Linked DNA regions of Rattus norvegicus. The protein of the gene in region 1 purifies or fractionates together with the protein of each later gene. This does not show direct contact. Links are inferred from orthologs where the notes say so. Each region holds a gene or a part of one and is shown in the gene's direction. Other genes may lie near its edges.

Region 1 (4,297 bases):
CTCATGATCAATACATGACCAGAATTTGAGCACAGGACTGAATGAGCACACCTGCTTGGGAGACAGCATAAGATTCAAGTCTCAGATGTTCACATCCTAGCTGCAGAGTAAGTGGAGTTTAAACCATTTTTTTCTTTAAAATGGGAGTCATATAAGGTGTACAGGCCTATGAGCTTTAAATTCAACGCTAGTCCACGGAGCTTAAAAATTTCGAGTGCTCACACAGTGGTTCTCAAACCTGTTGGTCTCGATCTTTTGAGGGAGGGTTCAAACGACCCTTTCCTCGGGGTCACCTAAGACCACTGGAAGACATATTACAATTCATTATAGTAGCAAAATTGCAGTTATGAAGTAGAACGAAAATAATTTTATGACTTGGGGGCGGTCATCAAAACTTGAGGAATTGCGTTATTGGGAATGTTGAGAACCATTGCATTTACAGGAATAGACGGGGCTGGGGAGCTGGCTCAGAGGTTAGGAGCCTCCTGTCGTGAAATCATGAGGATCCGTGCCGCGCATCTCACACACAATCACAGACACACAAATAAATAGATGAACGTATCTTAATTTTTATAAAAAGCCGGGTATGATGGCACACACCAACTGAGAGGCGGAGGCAGTTGGATCTCTGAGTTTGAGGCCAGCCTGGTCTACATAGCGAGACCAGCTTTCAAAATAATAGTAATAAGAAAATGAAACAAACGACACTAGTATTTATTCTAATAAACAAACCACTACAATTTGTTAAAGATTAACCTTAATTCGGAGAGGTAACAAGCACTATGTGGAACTGGTGGCCATCCAGTTGGATACACTTCAGATGGACAGCGAAGTGCTTCCAGGGGCGGAGAGAAGCCCAGGGCTAGAACTGTCCATTCTTCACCTGGAATACAACAGTCTATCCGGAAGTCCTTTCCAAGATGCATGGAGGTCGGGGAGGCTACACTAAGATGGTTTTCTTTAAGTCGGTCTCTTTATTCCTTTGAACTCAGCAAGCTCAGCCTTAGCAAATCTGCACGCCGAGGGCATTTTAAATTGGTTTTGAGGGATGGCCAAAGGGCCCAGTTCTGAGGACTCAAAGAACGTTGCAATGGGGTTTGCGGCTGGGGGCGATGGGTCTGCGAGGGTGCCATCATCCAGGAGAGAGAGTCGCCAGAGCCGGGAGGCTACTCTAGACCAAGCCCGGACCGGACTTGGTACAGGACTCCAGCCCGCCGGCTGGCTGACTGCGTTACAGAGCTCGGTCTTCGCATTGGGCCTCATTCACCGCCTCGGACTGAGTCCGCTGTCTCCCAGCTCCTGAGTGGCTGGAGGGTCGGGATTAACCTTTCACCTCCGCGCCCCGACCAATCACAGGACGGCTTTCATGCGGCCGCAGGGCGAGCAACCGAGGGGGCGCGGAGCGGCGGCGCGACGCCGGTGGGATTCTCCAAGCCGCTGTGCGCCGTCGCCGCGGGCCGAGCGCGGGCTGCGGGCGAGCAGGGCGCTGCGCAGTCTCCGCAGGCGCGGGCGGGAGGGGTCGGGACGCGGCGCGGTGCGGTGCGGGCGGCTCCGGGCCCAGGTGAATGGAGTAACCTGACAGCGGGAACGAGGCGACGGCGAGCGGCAGGAAATGGCGGCGGCGGCGGCGGCGCCGGGCGGCACCGGGAGGCCTGGGCTGTGACGCGCGCGCCGGAGCGGGGTCCGATGGTTCTGGAAGGCCCGCGGCGCCCAGTGCTGCAGGTGAGGCGGGCTCCCGCTGGGCCGCTTTGTGTCCGGGCCCGGGGAACAGCAATGCACGGCCCGCCTCTTGCGCCAGGCCCGCGCGGGCGCCTGGAGCAGGCCGCGACGCCGAGCCCGGGTAGATGAAGGTCCACGCGGGCCTCTCCACGTCCCAGCCCTGGGAGGAGCGGGCTTTGACAGGTCCCGTTCCGCGTTCGAAGCCCGGGAGAAGACAGGAGGTATCCACGCGGGCCGGCGTCCCGGGAGCGACCCGGGCCTGCCAAATGGCGCTGGACCCCTGGATGTCTCAGAGGATCAGGAGGGGGACAAGGCCTCCGCGAGGTGCGGGCTGGAGCCCTGGGAAGGATTGTTGTGTGTTTATTGGCAGGTGACCAAAGCTGGCCCTAGGGGGTGGGTGGCTCAGGCTGTGTTTCGTGCCCCTCCCCTTTCTGGTCGCTGTGCCTTTAAGGGGCTTTCGTTTGGCCAAATCAGTGTACATTTCAAGTTAACAAACCAAATTGGTGTGGATTGCCTAGCAGAACTGAGCTGCCCTTATGACTTTGCCTGCAGGACAGCGCCAGTGTTCTGAAGACTTGCCCAAATGGATGGATGAATGATTGGGAGTCTGTGATCTATATGGACCTTGCCTTTATGAGTAGAGTTGTGGCTAAAGGGTTAATTACCGATATATGATGACCTAAGTATTATGATGCTCAAGTGTTGAAAGACATCATCTGCTGAAAGAGACTTACTTGGGACTTCCTGAGTTTCCGAATCTTTGCAGTCTTGGTTGTCAGTTTTCTGAGGAGCCTCACAGTGTGCCAGTAGAAAAGAATGCAATTCAAGAGTTAAGAAACTTGGGAAATGTTTTTTCAAACCTGCTGTAAAATAGGATCACTGAGTTGGAAATTCATTGGTATAAACATTGTTTTCTAGGTAAAAATTTTCATTGTAACCAAAGTTTTACTAAAAGGGGAATTCTGGGTAAGGCTTGTAGCAAATGGTAGTTTGGACACTTTTGGAAATAATCTTTTTGATATCTTGGGAGACTGAGTTGTGGATAATCTGTTTCTCTTTTTAGGCTACCTGTGAAATGTGCAGTGTAAGAAGTGCACACATGCTTACGGTTGGAGTGTACTGAACTGTCAGCACCAAGGGCAGCTTTTAATGATCAGTGTGGTAGCTTAAGTCTGTGAATTTACTCGTGGTTCCAAAAGATGTCTCGGTTGGCTTTAACTGGGTGATAAAAGACCTTGCAACTACATTAGTAATGTGGTTGTCTTTATGGCCCTCGCAGGGCACTGCATTTTGGCAGCGTTTCTGGGTAGGAGTTGTATAGCTGGGCTGTTTTGTCTGTTGTTGACCTATCTTGTTTTGGTTTTAGAAGTATTTTGGTGTCGTTCATTTTTGTCTTTCTTGACCCCAGGAAGTTTCTGCCTCAGCCTCTGGGGTACTGGGATTACAGGCCTGACACTCTTGGTTCTGATTGGAGAGTGGTTTTGTGGTGGCATGTATGTCTAGGTGTAACTCTGCTTTCCAGGGGGGATAACCTTTATAGCATTGTGTCACACTATTGCCATATCTTCCTCTTTGCCACTGTCTGATGCTGTGAGCTGGAGATGTCAGTTGAGAGGGTGGGTGTGCTCCTTAAGGATTTCCTCCCTGCAGCCTACATAGGCTGATCTTTGGAGAGAAGGAGGACATTTGGGAACACTCATCAGTCTGTGCCAAGATGTGTCAGGCTCTTTTCACAGAGTCTCATTGAATTCTCAGTGCCTTCATGCAGCGTCCTTCTTCCTGGTTTTACACACGAGGGAAGTGAGACTCTGATGATTGCTTCAGACTGTGAGTCTACCTGAGTCTTGACTGTTTGAATCATGATTTGGTTTCAGAATGCCTGCATGCCTGCTCCTCAAAATGTGCTGTCCAAGTGGATTTTAGGCAGACTGCACTAAGTGGGATCTGTCCTCAGTACAGGTGGCGTGAGGGAAGCTCTGGCCCACTGAGAGAGTCAGGTGTCCTCTGCTTGTCTAAACGTTTGCAGTTGCTTTAAAATGTGACAGGATACTCATTGCAGTTTTAGCCATTAAGTGTACAGTGCAGCACATTCGGGTTTGCAGGTGTCACACGGTCCTCCTCCAGATTTCCCTCATTGGGACACTGATCCACATTCCGCCCTTCACGACTAAGCGACCATTGTTTGCTCTTTTCCTTGTCTTTGAGTTTGGCTGTGCTAGGAGCCTCATGTAAGGGTAGCCATTGAGGATTTGTCCTTTGGTGCTGGTGTACTGACACCTAGCATATGCCTTTGGGCTTCATGTGAGTGTGCATCTTTCTCCTCACTTTGAAAGGCTGAAACTCTCGTATGTACAGATGGTCCTTAGCTTATCATGGTTTGATGACAGTTTTTAGCCTTAAGCTTTGTGAGAAGACCATTTACAGCAGACACTTCTTTAATTGTGAAGTTTTGACTCTTTCCTGTCCCAGTCAGCCATGTGATCATGAGGTGTAGCCAGTGATACCTTACATCATGCTTTGTTGTTCAGCCAGAAAGTTTGACATGCCAAGTACACACGTCCGTTCCTCAGTTCTGCAT
Region 2 (3,649 bases), on another chromosome or scaffold:
TCAGACTAAAAGCTGGGGGCAGGGCGAGGTTGGGGAGGAGAGACTGTACAGCTGTGGCGCTTTCCTGGGGATAGATAGAATGGCAAAGAGGTAGTTGTTTCCCCCTGCCTCCTTCCCTAGTTTGGGGATGAAGTGGAGAGATGTTCTCCATTTTCTCTGAACCCTGACCAGGAGCGTGCTCTCAGGCACTGGTGTGCTGTCCAGCTCTGGGATGGTGAGAGCTCCAAGGGGAGTGTCTGTCTCACCTCATCCCTGTAATTTCTGCTTTGCCCTTGGTTCTTCTAGAGGGATGTCTCTCAGAATTTCAACTGATTATTCAGACTAGGAGGCAAAAAGTGAATGGAATCCTAAAACTTGGGAAAGGGAAAGATATATCTGAAAAGGGACAAATGCTTCTGCACAGAGTTTGTGTTTGTTTGGGACAGTTGCAAGCATGGTTGTGTGGTTGTGCACTCTTGTGGTGTGCCTATCGGTTTGTTTGTTCATTTATGTGATATGAGCATATGAAGTACCTGTCTTTATGCCCGGCACTAGCTTGAGCTGTGATTAAGTCAAGTATGGTCCCTTCTTTTGAAACACTGAGTCCTCACTGATGGTGAAGAGCGTATGTAGAACGGTAAGCTTTAGAGCGCTTGCATGTGAGAGGGGTGCGTGTTTGTCAGTGGGGCTCGTATGCAGTATCCATTCAGCCCTTTCTGGGATAGGTGGGACTAGTTTATTAGTTCCCTTGTAGCTGAGTTCTGAGGGACTTGGTATTTTCCTCTGCAGAAAGGGGCTGGGGCTGATTTGACAGGTGGTTTAGAGGGAGTCAAGTCCTTCAGCTTTGGAAGGTGTGCACCTCCCACAAATGACCCACCTCTTCCTGACCCCCCTGCCTAAGATATGCTCCATACCCTCCCACCCCTGTCCCATCCCCCAGTCCTGTGTGTCTATGAAAGCAGAGCTCTGGTAAAGAGGGCGTTTGTCCCTCTTCCACCTATGCTGGTCCTCTCTCTGCTGGAAAGAACAATAGTAGCAGAGGACAAAGGCTCTACTTAGTGTACACACACACACACACACACACACACACACACACACACACACACACACACACACACGGAGTAGGAGAGGGAGACTGAGGAGCAGTCATGCTGGCCTATCCTAGCCCTTCCTTCCCCAAGGGCCCCTTCTGTTCTGAAATCGATCCTTTCTGCCGTCTGGACCCTCCCTCAGTGTGGAAAGATTTGTGAAGAATGGAAAGTGTCTTATATTCCCTTTCTGACCTGGTGTCTCCCCTCTTACTGTTCTTCCTCCTTCCCGAGCCTTTAGCTTTCTTCATGTGAGCTTTTATTTTCTTCCGTTTCTTCATTCTGCATCTTGATAGTTTTTTCTCTGTACCCCAACCTTGCCCTACCTGTACCCTTCCTTCCCTCCTTTTTCTACCCAATTCAAGGCATTTTCTCTTGTGACCTCCAGATCCGACCTTCTCCCCGCCCTGGCAGCCTCTTCTTAGCCTGCAGATGCTGTCCTTCTACCCTTTTCTTTCTGTCTCCCCAGAGCCAGCATTCCCTGTCTCAGTCCTGTCTCAGGCCCTGCCCTTCCCAGCCTGCCTTTCTTGAGGTTGTTCACCTGTCCACATTAACAGAGGATATCATCCCAAAGTTCTGGTGCCGTTTTGTGTTCTGGATGCTAATGAGTGAAATGAGCTTCTCGAGTAGCACAGAATCAATCGATCGTTCTTAAACTGGCATATACCTACCTGGTAGAGACAGGTGTCTCAATCTAGTAGAGATGGAGGAAAGCGTTGTGAACTAGGAACTTAGCTACTTTTCTTGAACTCATTACACATTTACTTGTTGAAGTTGTAGACACACATTTTCCTAACTGAAGAAAGGTTTAAAACAAAAATAAAAGTAAAATAAGCCATTGGAAAATCCAGTGAGCCTGGGAATGTCCAAGCTGGTGGAAGCCCCTGCTGGGTGAGGAAAGAGGAACGAGACCCACGGTCTTGGTCTGAGAGGCCTTGTCTGATCACAGCAGTTAGAAGATGGCCAGACTCTGTCCTCACTGGCTTCTTTGTCTTCACAGCTGCAGGTGCCTACCTGCCTCCCCTGCAGCAGGTGTTCCAGGCCCCTCGCCGGCCTGGCATCGGCACTGTGGGCAAACCGATCAAGCTTCTGGCCAATTACTTTGAGGTGGACATTCCTAAGATTGACGTCTACCATTACGAGGTGGACATCAAGCCGGATAAGTGTCCTCGCAGAGTCAACCGGTAAGTGATGACTGTGGGTGGCACCGAGTCCAATTTATTAAACAGGGAAAGAGGAAACATGTCGGCCGGAGAACTCTGTAAGAACAGAGCACATTCTAGCACTTGCTGAGATAGGTGACTCCAGAGATTTTAAGAATGAGACTTAGGTAAGGAGCCCGGTAGAGAAGGAGAAGTTAAAAGGCAAGGCTAAAATGGCGGGGGTAAGAGCAAGATGGATGGTGTTCTTGCTTGCAGGGGATGTTCCGGGATGCATATTTGGAGAGATTAATCGTAGAAGAAGCAGATTAAATTGGTTTATTATTACTGGAAAACCATATTCACAATTAAAAACTAGGAATTTTTTTCAACAGTCTTGAGTGTATTTTCAGATATTTTTCTGTGTATACATTCATTATAATATGGACATGAATATATAATACATTTATAGTAATATATTCCCATCAATTACTGTTATTACTTATTAATTATATTAATAACCATATATAATATTACATTATTACATATTATTGTATATGCGTATACACAAACATGTGCATACATATACACATTGGTTTTATACAAGTATTACATATAATACAATATATGTGCATTAATATGTGTATATATGTAATGTATGAGCATATATAATAATAATGTAAGATTCTATATACTTTGTTCAATATTGTCCATTTTTCTGTTTAACCATATATTTTGGAAAATAGTATATATTAGTATATATAAATCTGCCTTATTCTTTTGTGTAGAGCCCTAGATAGTCCTTGAAATGACCACATAATTTGCTTGATCTATTGTGGGATATTTAGGTAGAGTCTAAACTTTGCAACAAGATTGAAACTGTTAAGTATTATATAAAGATACATATTTTCACAGATGTGTGAGTGTATCTGTAAGATAGAAGTCCTAGGAGTGGAATGACTGCCACAAGGCAGTTTAAATTGAGACATTGTCCATTCCTGAGGCAGTGTCAGAAGAACTCAGGAGTAAGACAGAGGAAAAGATGATACAGGAGAGAAAACAGTGGTAAAACTTCCAAGAGCTGGAGAAAGGACTCCTACCCTGTATTTTATTATTTCTAGGCCAGTTCAGATCCGTTCCTTTCTTTCCTTTCCGTCTTTGTTTGGCAGACAGGATAGACCTGGGAACAGGCCCTTCCCCTTCAGAAGGTCTGTGGAGGTCTCATGATCTGAGGACCAACAGTATTACTGTAGGATTTTGGAAGTGTGGGTTCTAAGTGTGGGTTCAAATCAGAAGATGACTTTAATGAAACCTGATGATTCATAGGAATGTTGGAAGCTTGAGGTGTATTGCCACGGAGTAGACCTTAAACATGAGTGTGGTACACGGGATGTTGCCTCAATTTTGAGCTGTTTCCAAAAGCCAGAGTGACAGCCTCAGCTT
Region 3 (3,523 bases), on another chromosome or scaffold:
TTTATTCCTTAAATCTATAAGTATTGTAATTTGCCTGCTTGCTCTTTCTATAACTGTGCAACCTCTGACCTTTTCATGCACACACATTCACATGTAAGGACAGCATTATACATGGTCCCAAATATGTACAAAATATGGATTTGCGTATATGCACACCACACACACATGAAAATAGAAAAAGAAAAAAATACTGCTTAATCGTTCTAGTCTTTGTGTTGTTATTCTTTACGAGGGATTGTCTATGTTTTGTTATTTTCAAAGTAAGTAATGATGAACAGGCTTTGGTAAAGCATATGAAGACAGCTTAGTTTTGATGAATTCCTCTCTTCCCCACCTAGGTTGTAGGCAGTATGGATGCCCATCCAAGCAGATACTGTGCCACAGTGAGAGTTCAGAGACCCCGACAGGAAATCATCCAGGACTTGGCCTCCATGGTCCGGGAACTGCTCATCCAATTTTACAAGTCAACCCGATTCAAACCTACTCGGATCATCTTTTATCGGGATGGTGTTTCCGAAGGACAGTTTAGACAGGTTGGTTGCCTGGGATTTTTTTTTTTCTTTGTGGGCAAGATACCACTTTGTTTTCTTTGGTTTTCCAACTGTGCTGCCGTACAATGAAAATTCAATCCCCCGCCAGCCTTGTAACCTTGTAGCTCCTTGCCCAGGATGTGTGTTCGAGGATGCTCAGCGGGTTGCCTGGAATATATTTAGGCCATAAGTATACCACACACTAAGTTTATGATGTGATCTCTAGATCTGAAGGTAAACATCTGAAGTTAAAAGTTTGTCAAATCAAAACTGATGCCTCGGTAGATTTTCCTTTTTAAATCTTCCTGTGGATATGTGAGCCTTCATTGCTCTGCTCGTGGCTAAATGACATAATGCAGAAGCATTATGGAGGTGTACGGTACATGATGCTAAGAAGTCATGAGGTGGGGCTGGAGAGGTGGCCTAGCAGTTAAGAGTGCTTGGGGCTCTTGCAGAGGAACTGAGTTCTGTTCCCAGCACCTACATCAGGTGGCTCCCTGCCACCCGCAGCTCCAGGAGCTCTGATGTCCTCTTCTGGCATCCAGGGCACCTGCACGCACGTGCACAAACAAACTCCTGCCCAAACACATATGCATAACTTAAAATGAAATTGATCCTTAAAAACAGAAAATCACGAAGTGAAATCATTATCTTACTTTGGAATTTGTAAAATAAACAACTGGCTTGTTCCGTTCCTGTGCTGCATCTTCTCTAGGTATTATATTATGAGCTCCTGGCAATTCGAGAAGCCTGTATCAGTTTGGAAAAAGACTATCAACCTGGAATAACCTACATTGTCGTTCAGAAGAGACATCATACGCGATTGTTCTGTGCTGATAGAACAGAAAGGGTAATTTTTTTTTCTTTTTTCTATTTTTCGGAGCTGGGGACCGAACCCAGGGCCTTGCGTTTGCTAGGCAAGCGCTCTACCACTGAGCTAAATCCCCAACCCAGAAAGGGTAATTTTATGTCTTGTAATACTGCTCTAAGTCAAGCTCCCTCCCCACCATCAAGCTTCCAATGTCTGCCTCTTCCCTTCCCGTCCTCCCTTTTCTCCCTGTTCCTTCTCTCCCTCCTTTCCTATCTCTTCCCTTCTTCCTCTTTTTCTGTTGCTGGAAATCATGTGCGGACCTCATGGGTGCTAGCTAGGCTGTGTACACTGAGCTCCATACTCAACCTAAGTGGTTTTTCAGTTTAACTGACTTAGTCCTCCTAAAAATTATGCAGTTATTATTACATATAATAGAATATATATATATATCATCCCTGTCATGAAAATGAAGCTGTAATCTCTCGATGGTTACAGAGAAAGCACTATTAGAAGTGGTCCTCAAATCCAAGCTACGTAACTACACAGCATTCTTTTCTATGATTCATTTTTTTATGTATGTTGGTATTTTGCCTGCATGTGTGTATAGTTACAGACAGTTGTGAGCTGCCACATGGGTGCTAGGAATTGATTTTTGTTTTTTTATTTTTTTTTTTTTTGGTTCTTTTTTTTTTTTTTCAGAGCTGGGGACCGAACCCAGGGCCTTGCGCTTCCTAGGCAAGCGCTCTGCCACTGAGCCAAATCCCCAACCCCGGGTGCTAGGAATTGAATCCAGGGCCTCTGGAAGAGCAGCCAGTGCTCCTAACCTCTGAGCCACAACTCTAGCTCTACTACAGAGTTGTAATGGCGATGGTCAGCTGCGGTTAGTAAGGCCGCTCATCCGTGCTTACTTCTGCCCATGCTCCACATGACGCTAACAATGGCTGCGACAGAGTTTAGTTGGAGTGTTTAGATGTAATGCACATTTCAGACCATGGGTTCAATTCCCAAAAATGAAAACAAAAAGGAAGATTTTTATAGCTGAGAAAACAAAGAGGTAAAATACCTTGTCCTAGATAGAGCAGCAGTTCTCAACCTGTTGGTTACCACCACTTTGGCAAACCTCTGTCTCCAAGGCTATTTGCTATTTACACTATAATTCATAGCAGTAGCAAAATTGTTTATGAATAACAACAAAAATAATTTTCTGGTTGGGGGTTACCACAACATGAGGAACTGTATTAAAGGGTTGCAGCAGTAGGAAGGTTGGGACTAACTACCCTAGAGCATAAATCTAGAAACTGGAACTGTCATGAAAAATCCAGTTTCCTCTTTAAATAGGTTACAGCTTCTGTATGGTATGTGTTGCTAATTTATTAGGCTGGGATTTTTTTAAGACTAGATATAATTAAGCTGGGCGTGGTAGCATATACATTTAGTCCTAGCACTCAGGAGGCAGAGGCAGGCGGATCTCTCAGTTCAAGTCTAGCCTGGTCTACAGAACTAGTTTTAGGACAGTCAAGGCTAAACAACAAATCCCTGTCTTGGAAAATCAAATAGTAGTGATGATAAGAATAAATTTTTAAGGGGCTGGGGATTTAGCTCAGTGGTAGAGCGCTTACCTAGGAAGCGCAAGGCCCTGGGTTCGGTCCCCAGCTCCGAAAAAAAGAACCAAAAAAAAAAAAAAAAGAATAAATTTTTAAAAGACGAGGAACTAAGGGATGAACTTAATAGCTACTTCAGTAATATTTCAAGCTCAAAGTAGTGAAATGTGAAGTCGGTTTATGTATTTGAACATTTTTAATGTACTTTCTGATACTTGTTTTTGTCCTGTTGATTAAAATTTGATTCCCCCCCCCACCCTCCGCCAAAAAAAAAAAAAAATGTAGGTGGGAAGAAGCGGCAACATCCCAGCTGGAACCACAGTGGATACAGACATCACTCACCCGTATGAATTCGACTTTTATCTCTGCAGCCATGCTGGAATACAGGTGAGCCTGCTCCAGGGGAATGTTTTTCCTGAGGAGCCCCAGTTCTCCTCAGCAAACAGAGAGTAAATAATACTCTTTTCTGTGTTCCTAGTTATTTTCATGTGTAAGTTTTAGTAAACGAATTTCTTCCTTTTCCTTACTTTAAGAGGGAAATATTTTTATGAAAACAGCAGAATTAGTGACGCACACCTTTA

What was found.
Region 2: the proteins of Dicer1 (region 1) and Ago1 purify together in Homo sapiens (co-immunoprecipitation; 7 studies listed by BioGRID and IntAct, with this or other methods). This does not show direct contact. The link is inferred for Rattus norvegicus from reciprocal best matches to the Homo sapiens genes DICER1 and AGO1.
Region 3: the proteins of Dicer1 (region 1) and Ago3 purify together in Homo sapiens (affinity purification with mass spectrometry; 3 studies listed by BioGRID and IntAct, with this or other methods). This does not show direct contact. The link is inferred for Rattus norvegicus from reciprocal best matches to the Homo sapiens genes DICER1 and AGO3.

The regions. Positions count from the first base shown.
Region 1 is NC_086024.1:129,454,332-129,458,628, reverse strand, and holds the start of Dicer1 (endoribonuclease Dicer), read left to right. Parts: upstream 1-1,376; 5' UTR 1,377-1,686; coding exon of another isoform or gene 1,687-1,722; intron 1,723-4,297. UniProt on the Homo sapiens protein: Double-stranded RNA (dsRNA) endoribonuclease playing a central role in short dsRNA-mediated post-transcriptional gene silencing.
Region 2 is NC_086023.1:144,035,023-144,038,671, reverse strand, and holds part of Ago1 (protein argonaute-1), read left to right. Parts: intron 1-2,067; coding exon 2,068-2,251; intron 2,252-3,649.
Region 3 is NC_086023.1:143,929,298-143,932,820, reverse strand, and holds part of Ago3 (protein argonaute-3), read left to right. Parts: intron 1-338; coding exon 339-533; intron 534-1,245; coding exon 1,246-1,380; intron 1,381-3,227; coding exon 3,228-3,329; intron 3,330-3,523.